Kluyveromyces lactis: one gene and its partner. The protein of the gene in region 1 purifies or fractionates together with the protein of each later gene. This does not show direct contact. Links are inferred from orthologs where the notes say so. Each region holds a gene or a part of one and is shown in the gene's direction. Other genes may lie near its edges.

What was found. Proteins that work in one complex are often made in the same cells at the same time.
Region 2: the proteins of RPT3 (region 1) and ECM29 purify together in Saccharomyces cerevisiae (affinity purification with mass spectrometry; 3 studies listed by BioGRID). This does not show direct contact. The link is inferred for Kluyveromyces lactis from reciprocal best matches to the Saccharomyces cerevisiae genes RPT3 and ECM29.

Annotation. Positions count from the first base shown.
Region 1 is NC_006039.1:570,779-574,157, forward strand, and holds RPT3 (proteasome regulatory particle base subunit RPT3), read left to right. Parts: upstream 1-1,440; coding exon 1,441-2,727; downstream 2,728-3,379. Other genes in the region: SHE9 (She9p), read left to right, coding at 1-1,032; SMP3 (glycosylphosphatidylinositol-alpha 1,2 mannosyltransferase), read right to left, coding at 2,817-3,379. UniProt on the Saccharomyces cerevisiae protein: The 26S proteasome is involved in the ATP-dependent degradation of ubiquitinated proteins. The regulatory (or ATPase) complex confers ATP dependency and substrate specificity to the 26S complex.
Region 2 is NC_006041.1:67,816-71,952, forward strand, and holds the start of ECM29 (Ecm29p), read left to right. Parts: upstream 1-1,325; coding exon 1,326-4,137. Other genes in the region: membrane morphogenesis protein VPS13, read right to left, coding at 1-963. UniProt on the Saccharomyces cerevisiae protein: Stabilizes the proteasome holoenzyme, probably by tethering the 20S proteolytic core particle and the 19S regulatory particle.

The DNA of each region.
Region 1 (3,379 bases):
TTCAAAACACAATGGGACAAAGCTCAAAAATCTTTAAAGGATGCGAACGAGAGATTGTCTCAGATGGAAAATGACAGTAACGATTCAAAATTGAACTATAACGCTGAAGGTAAGATCAAGGACCTACCTAGCGAAAGAGAACGACATCGTAAAAAATGGGCTCGCAAAATGGAACTGTATTTAGATTCATTGCAAGAGACCATATTCACAGCCACCAGAGCTTTGAATGACGTAACAGGATATTCCAGTATTCAGAAGTTAAGAAATACAATTTCCTCATTGGAAGAAGAGCTGAAGGACACTAAAAAACTTGTCAATGAAGCAAAGGAAAAGTACGAGACAGCTATAAAAGCAAGATCGGGATCGCAAAAGGAAGTTAATGAATTGTTGCAAAGAAAAAATTCGTGGTCTCCTACTGACCTTGATAGATTTACCCAACTATACAGAGATGACGCATTGAACTCTCAAACGGAAGAACAATCTAAGGTAAAACTCGCAGAACTTGAGGCTAAGGAGGAGGAACTTTCAACGAATTTGTACCGAGCCATTCTTACAAGGTATCACGAAGAACAAATCTGGTCAGATAAGATCAGAAGAACTTCGACATGGGGTACATTTATTTTGATGGGAGTAAATATACTCTTCTTCGTAATATTTCAATTACTGCTAGAACCTTGGAAGAGAAGGAGGTTAGTCGGTTCTTTCGAAGATAAGGTAAAAATGGCGCTTGATGATCATCAAAAGGAACAAAACTTGGCAATTTCAGAAATGTCAAATACCATAGACAATTTGATGGATAAAAAACTTCAAGAAACTCAAACAAAACCCCATCAGGAGGAAGTTCCCAAAATCCTCACATTTTCAAATATAGTTGCTGACTTTAAGATATGGTGTTCTTTACAGTGGACAATATACTATAATAAGTTGGTAACTCTTTTACCGGAGACAACCGTCACTTTCACCAAGAGTTGTTTCTACTCGTACTCCACACTACTTTTATCATTAGGTATACTATTAGGACACTGCATTTGAGTATACACAGGTGCATTGATATACGTAGTGGGTAGCCTATCATGTTAACATTCTAAACAGTGTAGGCCCTTCGAAAAAGTTGTCTAAGAACCGAGATCACGTGACTGCAAAATGGGTGGCAAAATACCCAAAATGAGATTTAACTTTTTAATGAAATAATGCAATTATTAAACTGAACGATTTGACATAACCACTTTAGTGTGGAAGGGGATACGTTTATAAATATATGTAGGTACAAACACATATATCCGTGTAAGTAGTAAGACTGACCCCTTAGTTTATTGGAATTGCAGTATATTATTGGAACTTTTCTGTGTTTTCGGATACTTTCGTCTTTATTTGATCATAGTCTAAAGGGAGTTAGAATATTTACACACTACGGGAAAGACGAATTAAGATCAAAACATTATGGAAGAACTAGGTATTAGTACTCCTCAACCTGTTCTTAGTGTAGAATTTGGTGCAAAGAATAATGGTCTATCATATGGTTCCCTACTTGCTCAGCTAAATAATGATTCATTTGCCGTGGCGAATGGTAATTCAGATGTCTACTTGAAACTAAAGAAGCTGGAGAAAGAATATGAATTATTGACATTACAAGAAGATTATATCAAAGATGAACAGCGCCATTTGAAGAGGGAATTACTCAGAGCCCAAGAGGAAGTGAAAAGAATCCAATCTGTGCCACTTGTCATTGGTCAATTTTTGGAACCGATTGACGAAAACACCGGTATCGTCTCCTCGACCACAGGTATGAGTTATGTCGTAAGGATTCTATCGACTCTAGATAGGGAACTGTTAAAACCATCAACTTCAGTTGCATTACATCGTCACTCTAATGCCCTTGTGGATATTTTACCACCTGATTCAGATTCTAGCATATCAATCATGGCCGCAAATGAAAAGCCAGATGTCACCTATGCCGATGTTGGTGGGTTAGACATGCAGAAGCAAGAAATAAGAGAAGCTGTTGAACTACCCTTGGTACAGGCGGATTTGTATCAACAGATTGGTATTGACCCACCAAGAGGGGTTTTACTTTATGGTCCTCCTGGTACTGGCAAAACTATGTTAGTTAAGGCCGTGGCAAACGCGACAGAAGCCGCATTCATCAGAGTGAACGGGTCAGAGTTTGTGCATAAATACTTAGGTGAAGGGCCAAGAATGGTTAGAGATGTTTTCAGATTGGCAAGAGAAAACTCACCATCAATTATTTTCATCGATGAAGTGGATTCCATCGCTACAAAACGTTTCGATGCTCAGACAGGGTCTGATCGTGAAGTCCAACGTATATTGATTGAGTTACTTACTCAAATGGATGGTTTTGATCAGTCAACAAATGTTAAAGTTATAATGGCAACCAATCGTGCTGATACTCTAGATCCAGCTTTGTTAAGACCTGGTAGATTAGACAGAAAGATCGAATTCCCTTCATTAAGGGACAGGCGTGAACGTCGTTTAATTTTTGGTACTATAGCTGCAAAGATGTCTTTAGCTCCTGAAGCAGATTTAGATTCTTTGATCATCAGAAATGATCCTTTATCTGGTGCTTTGATTGCCGCCATTATGCAAGAAGCTGGTCTAAGAGCTGTCAGAAAGAACAGATACGTCATCCTACAAAGCGATTTGGAGGAAGCGTATGCTTCACAAGTCAAGTCAGGTAGCGATGTTGATAAATTCGACTTCTATAAATAATTTAATTTAATTGTGTTTGACTCAATACATATCGGTAAATGCAGTGTATATTGGAAAGTATTCCTAATAGAAAATAAGCCAGTAATATTTCAAACTATTAGACTTACGTTGTATAGCCTTAATCCTGGCTTTATGGTAGTCCAGTCTGGCATATCAATGTGATCTAAATCGAGATGCTGCTGCGTCTCCCATTCTGTGATGAACTTCCATTGCGACTGAAGGGGGGTCAATTTATCGAGAACAGTATTTGGCATGATTAGCTGAATTGAGTCTGTGTTCTCCGAAAATTTTGTAAGAGTTTTATTTAGTAACTCAATGTCACTACCTTTTAAATCAACAACATGATTTGATACAACATGCCAAGGTATATTATCGACAAACTCTACATTTTCCTTAAAGTTCGTGGTAGAAACCGTCAGATCAGGATTGGAATACATCCACGTCGGAGGAGAATATGTCTTCCACCAAATATGAACAGGGAATTCTTCACCTGAGAAGTAGGATATGAGAGGTATTATTCCTGCTTGATGGAATACTCCCATTATCAATCCCATGACAATATTAAAGACGAGCCATGAAGTTATGATGGTTTCTGCTTGAAAGAAAGTATCGAAATTGTCAAGGTTCATCGATGCACAAAGTAATGGTAGAA
Region 2 (4,137 bases), on another chromosome or scaffold:
TGCAGGTTTAACAGTCGGTCTATGTTGTCTGTACTTCAAAGTTTTATGGAACCAGTGGTACTTCGACAGATTGTGAAGGACTTCCTTATACTGACAATCATCTAACACAAGAGCAAATTCATCAAACATTAATTGCACATCGATATGAGGAGCATCTTCAGTGGCACCAGCTTTATTCATTTTGAGTCTAGCCGATCCTCTGACCGGTTTCAAGAGGTATTGATATTCTGGAGCGCCTCGGTTATCGGCAATTGATTCGCGTAATCTAATCAAAAGTTCCTCAGAGTCGTCCGTTTCTATCGATTCTGTGCCTGTGTTACAGTATATACTAATAGAATCTAGGGTAGCCAATTTATGAGTAATTTGTTGTTTAATGGAGATGAAACTGGGATTCCAGGATTCATCAGTGGATACTGCAGAGAGCTCACTTAATGAAATACCAAATGCGCATGGTCCTTCACTGAACACTGAATTCATATCTTCATACCTCATATGAATATTCTTCACCGTTACCTGAAGGTTATCGACAATTTTGGTCAACAAGGATTGTGTAAAAGATTCATTGCGATTAGAATCTAAATTGATATCTGGTTTGGAACTGTTGGCGAGTTCAAAATCTGCCAGACGCTGAAGTTTTACTTTGAGCTCGCGCTCAATTTGTTCCTCCACATTATATGACTCCGGTGTCCGTGGAGCGCATAACATATACACATCTTCAATTATGATCTTCACTGGTTTATTTTTTAAACTGGACCATGGGATTAACAAAGTCAATTCTCCCAAATATCCAAACTTTACATCGATAGGTAGATCCAATGCATCTAATGAATCCTTTCTTAAACGCAAGTTGCGTAATTTAACATCCCCGTTCCATATGCCAACGTTAAGTTGGGTTGGATCGAAATTCTCGACATAGGCACCCAAAAATCGGTTTAAAAGAGCAGAGACAAGAGATTCTAACATTTATTAGGCTCTCTATCGTTGATTTATTACTGTTGTGAGCTATTTAGATTCTCTATTGGTGCTTTAGGGTGGACTGATGCAAAGTTGGTGTTTTATTTTTTCTGGTTTCAATTGCTATCAGCTCCCCTTTGAATTTATGTAAATACAAAAATAGACAAACTGTCAATTGAAAAAAAAGGTTTCATAGCATGGATATGTGCGGGTAATCAGGTATTTAAATCAGGCAAAAGGAATTCTACTGCACTTTAAAGGTTTGAAAGTTTAAAGATGTGAATCTTATTAGCAGAAGATTGGAAATAATTTGAACATATTTGCCACTGTACGAAGAAAGACATCATAAAACCGTGTGTTAATGTTGTCCAATGAGCAAGTTCCAGCAATTGAGTGAGGGCCAAGAGAGATCACTTGTTGAGAAGGTTGACCTCAGACTAGTATTGGCAAAAGATGATGCTAAATTCGAGCAGACTTTGAACACTTTTTTGCCGCCTTTATTATTAAAGCTAGCCTCACCTTATTCATCCGTTAGGGAATTGGTTTATGAGTCCATAAAACATATCACGTCGAGAGTCAATTCTCATTTTCGCTGTAAGCTTCCGGTGAGGCAGCTATTGCAACAAGTTAAAAAGCCAAATCTGAATGAAGGTCAGGACGCTACCAATGTTATTGTTTATTCGTCGTTTTTCCTTTCCAAAGGGGTAGAAAGAATAAGTAGACAGGAATCAAGAGAGCTTTTGCCTGATATAATAGAAGATATTTCCAACTTATCATCACCAGCACAAACAAGAATATTTCACATTCTGTGTAAAGTATTGTTGACATGGAAAGCTCCTTTGCAAGGTTCCTCAGAGGAAAGAGAAACGATAGACTTTTTAAACGTAAATGATTCTGATTTAAGATTTTTGGTTGAAAAATTCTTGAAGTTTTTTCTATTGGTTCCCAAGAGAACAGAAGGTAGCTCAGTTTCCTACTTTTGTCCGGGTCTCTCTAGCACTGATGTGTCATTTTTCATTTATAGCCCTGCCATATACTTCACCAAAGACTTGTTAAACCAATACAGAAGGGCAATTTTTGATTTTACTGTCTCAGGTTTGACTAGTAATGACCAGATTTTGATACCATTCTTATTGGTGGTATCAGCACAACCAATCGATATATCAGATTCAGCGTCCACGCTTTTGAAGAGAATTAAGATACCATATGATGATGAAACTTTTGTTAAATATCTCTCAGATTTGTTTTGCGGCAATATTGCTGAGCATCTACCACCTGTGAATCCTCAAATCCAGGAAAAAATACTGGGACTTCTAACGCGAAGTATTCTGATAACGAGGTTACCCAATTTGCCTCTGAGGATATCAATGGACGGCATTGCTAGTCGCAATCTGAGAGTCAAATTAGCTGCCCTGGTTTTCATTCGTCATGTTGCCAAAAACAATCACCTAGCGTTACGAGAAACAACCGGAAATGATATGACTTCAATCATTACTGCTATTAAGAATGATATTCAATTAGCAGGTTGGCCACGGTACAATTCTCAGGAGGAAAACAAATTGTCTGGCATCACCCTACGAACATCACAATATGAGACGCTAGGTCAGCTTTTGAGGCAAGATTTTGACTCTGTTAAGAATTTTGAAATGGTAAAGTTTCTATTAGAATCCTTGAACGGGGATCTTAATGAATTCAGAATAACAATAAAAGATGCATTGGGGTCTTTGGTACATCATTTCCCGCTTCTTCCATCAGAATCAAAAAAGCAGTTGAAGCAATTTTTATCTAGTACACTGAAAGATAATTATGCGTTACTACACGGTACCTCTGATGAAAAAGAAGCAATCATGACCTTGAGATTTGTCGGCATGAAATTCAATAATGCCGCATTTCCGTTTGAAGACAATGAGGCAAGAGTTTTTAGTATTTTAGGGACTAGCCGATTGAACCGTTTTGATGTTGTTCAAGAAGCATTCAAAGGTCTAAGCCCATATCAGTTTAGAATGAACAGGGCGTCTTTGGAAACTGGTTTTGTGTCAACGGATACTTTGTTGGCCAAAAAAATAAGTGAAACAAGGTTTGTTGACTTTTCCTCATTTATATCTTTATTCTTATCTGAAGCCCAAAACAAAAGTGAACACTGTTCTATAAAGGACTGCATTGTCACAGGAGTTAGATTCCTTCGGCACACATTAATATCCAATTCTATTTACGGTAAGAGAACTGTCGTTTTGCAGGATGAAAATTGGTCCATGCGCATCGAGAAAAGTCTCGAGGTCGATGAGAATGTAAGGAAACATGTTCATGAAAATATCGAGCATCTCTCAGAATCTACTGTATCTTCGGTATTGCTGTTCTTATTTAACGAGATAATACATGAGAATAATGTTTCTTCCAAGGACGATCCTGTTTTCTCCAAGTTATTCCTAGTTCTTGTCACTTACGCTAAAAACGATGTTATCATGAAATCCGAGAATATTCTAGCATCCACTTTAAAACGAATCAATACTAAACAAAGTCCGCCTGACATCTATACGGACTCTCTCGTAAATTCATTCGGGATTATTGGAGCAAGAATTGGGTTAAGTTCACATTCTGTGTCCCAAATACTGGCAACTGACTTTGATCAGGAATCGAATAATCCATCCGCAATTATACCGGTTTTAGTGTACCTTTTGGCATCTTTAATCCCCAGATTGCAGTTACTACATTCTGTTGAATTTGGAACTGTTGTTTCAAGAATCTTACAGAAGATAACAAAGCAATATTTATCTGGTAGTTGTAGAGAGTTGTCTTTGAAAGCATATTGTGAACTTTTAAAGTATAGAACTTTGGATTCGCTTGATGCTGTTAACAGGAAGTCCATAACTATTTCAATAAAGGATGCCATAAAAGACAAGCTATTCAATGATGAGCTAGCTATAATGACTTGGGGCTATCTCTATATGAACTCGAATGAAACTGAATTCGATGATTATTTAGGAGTTTATGAGACAATTCATTCTTCCAAACATATTGATTACCTATTTGTTTCAGGTGAAAGTTTAACAATCATTTTGGGTGGATGGAATTCTAAGTTGTTGGAAAGACAGCTAGATATCAATTATGATGTTAAACATTTGCAAGAGTTAACGACGACAACAAAATTACAGGATGGCTTAAATAGAGTTTTGTCGTTTTGTT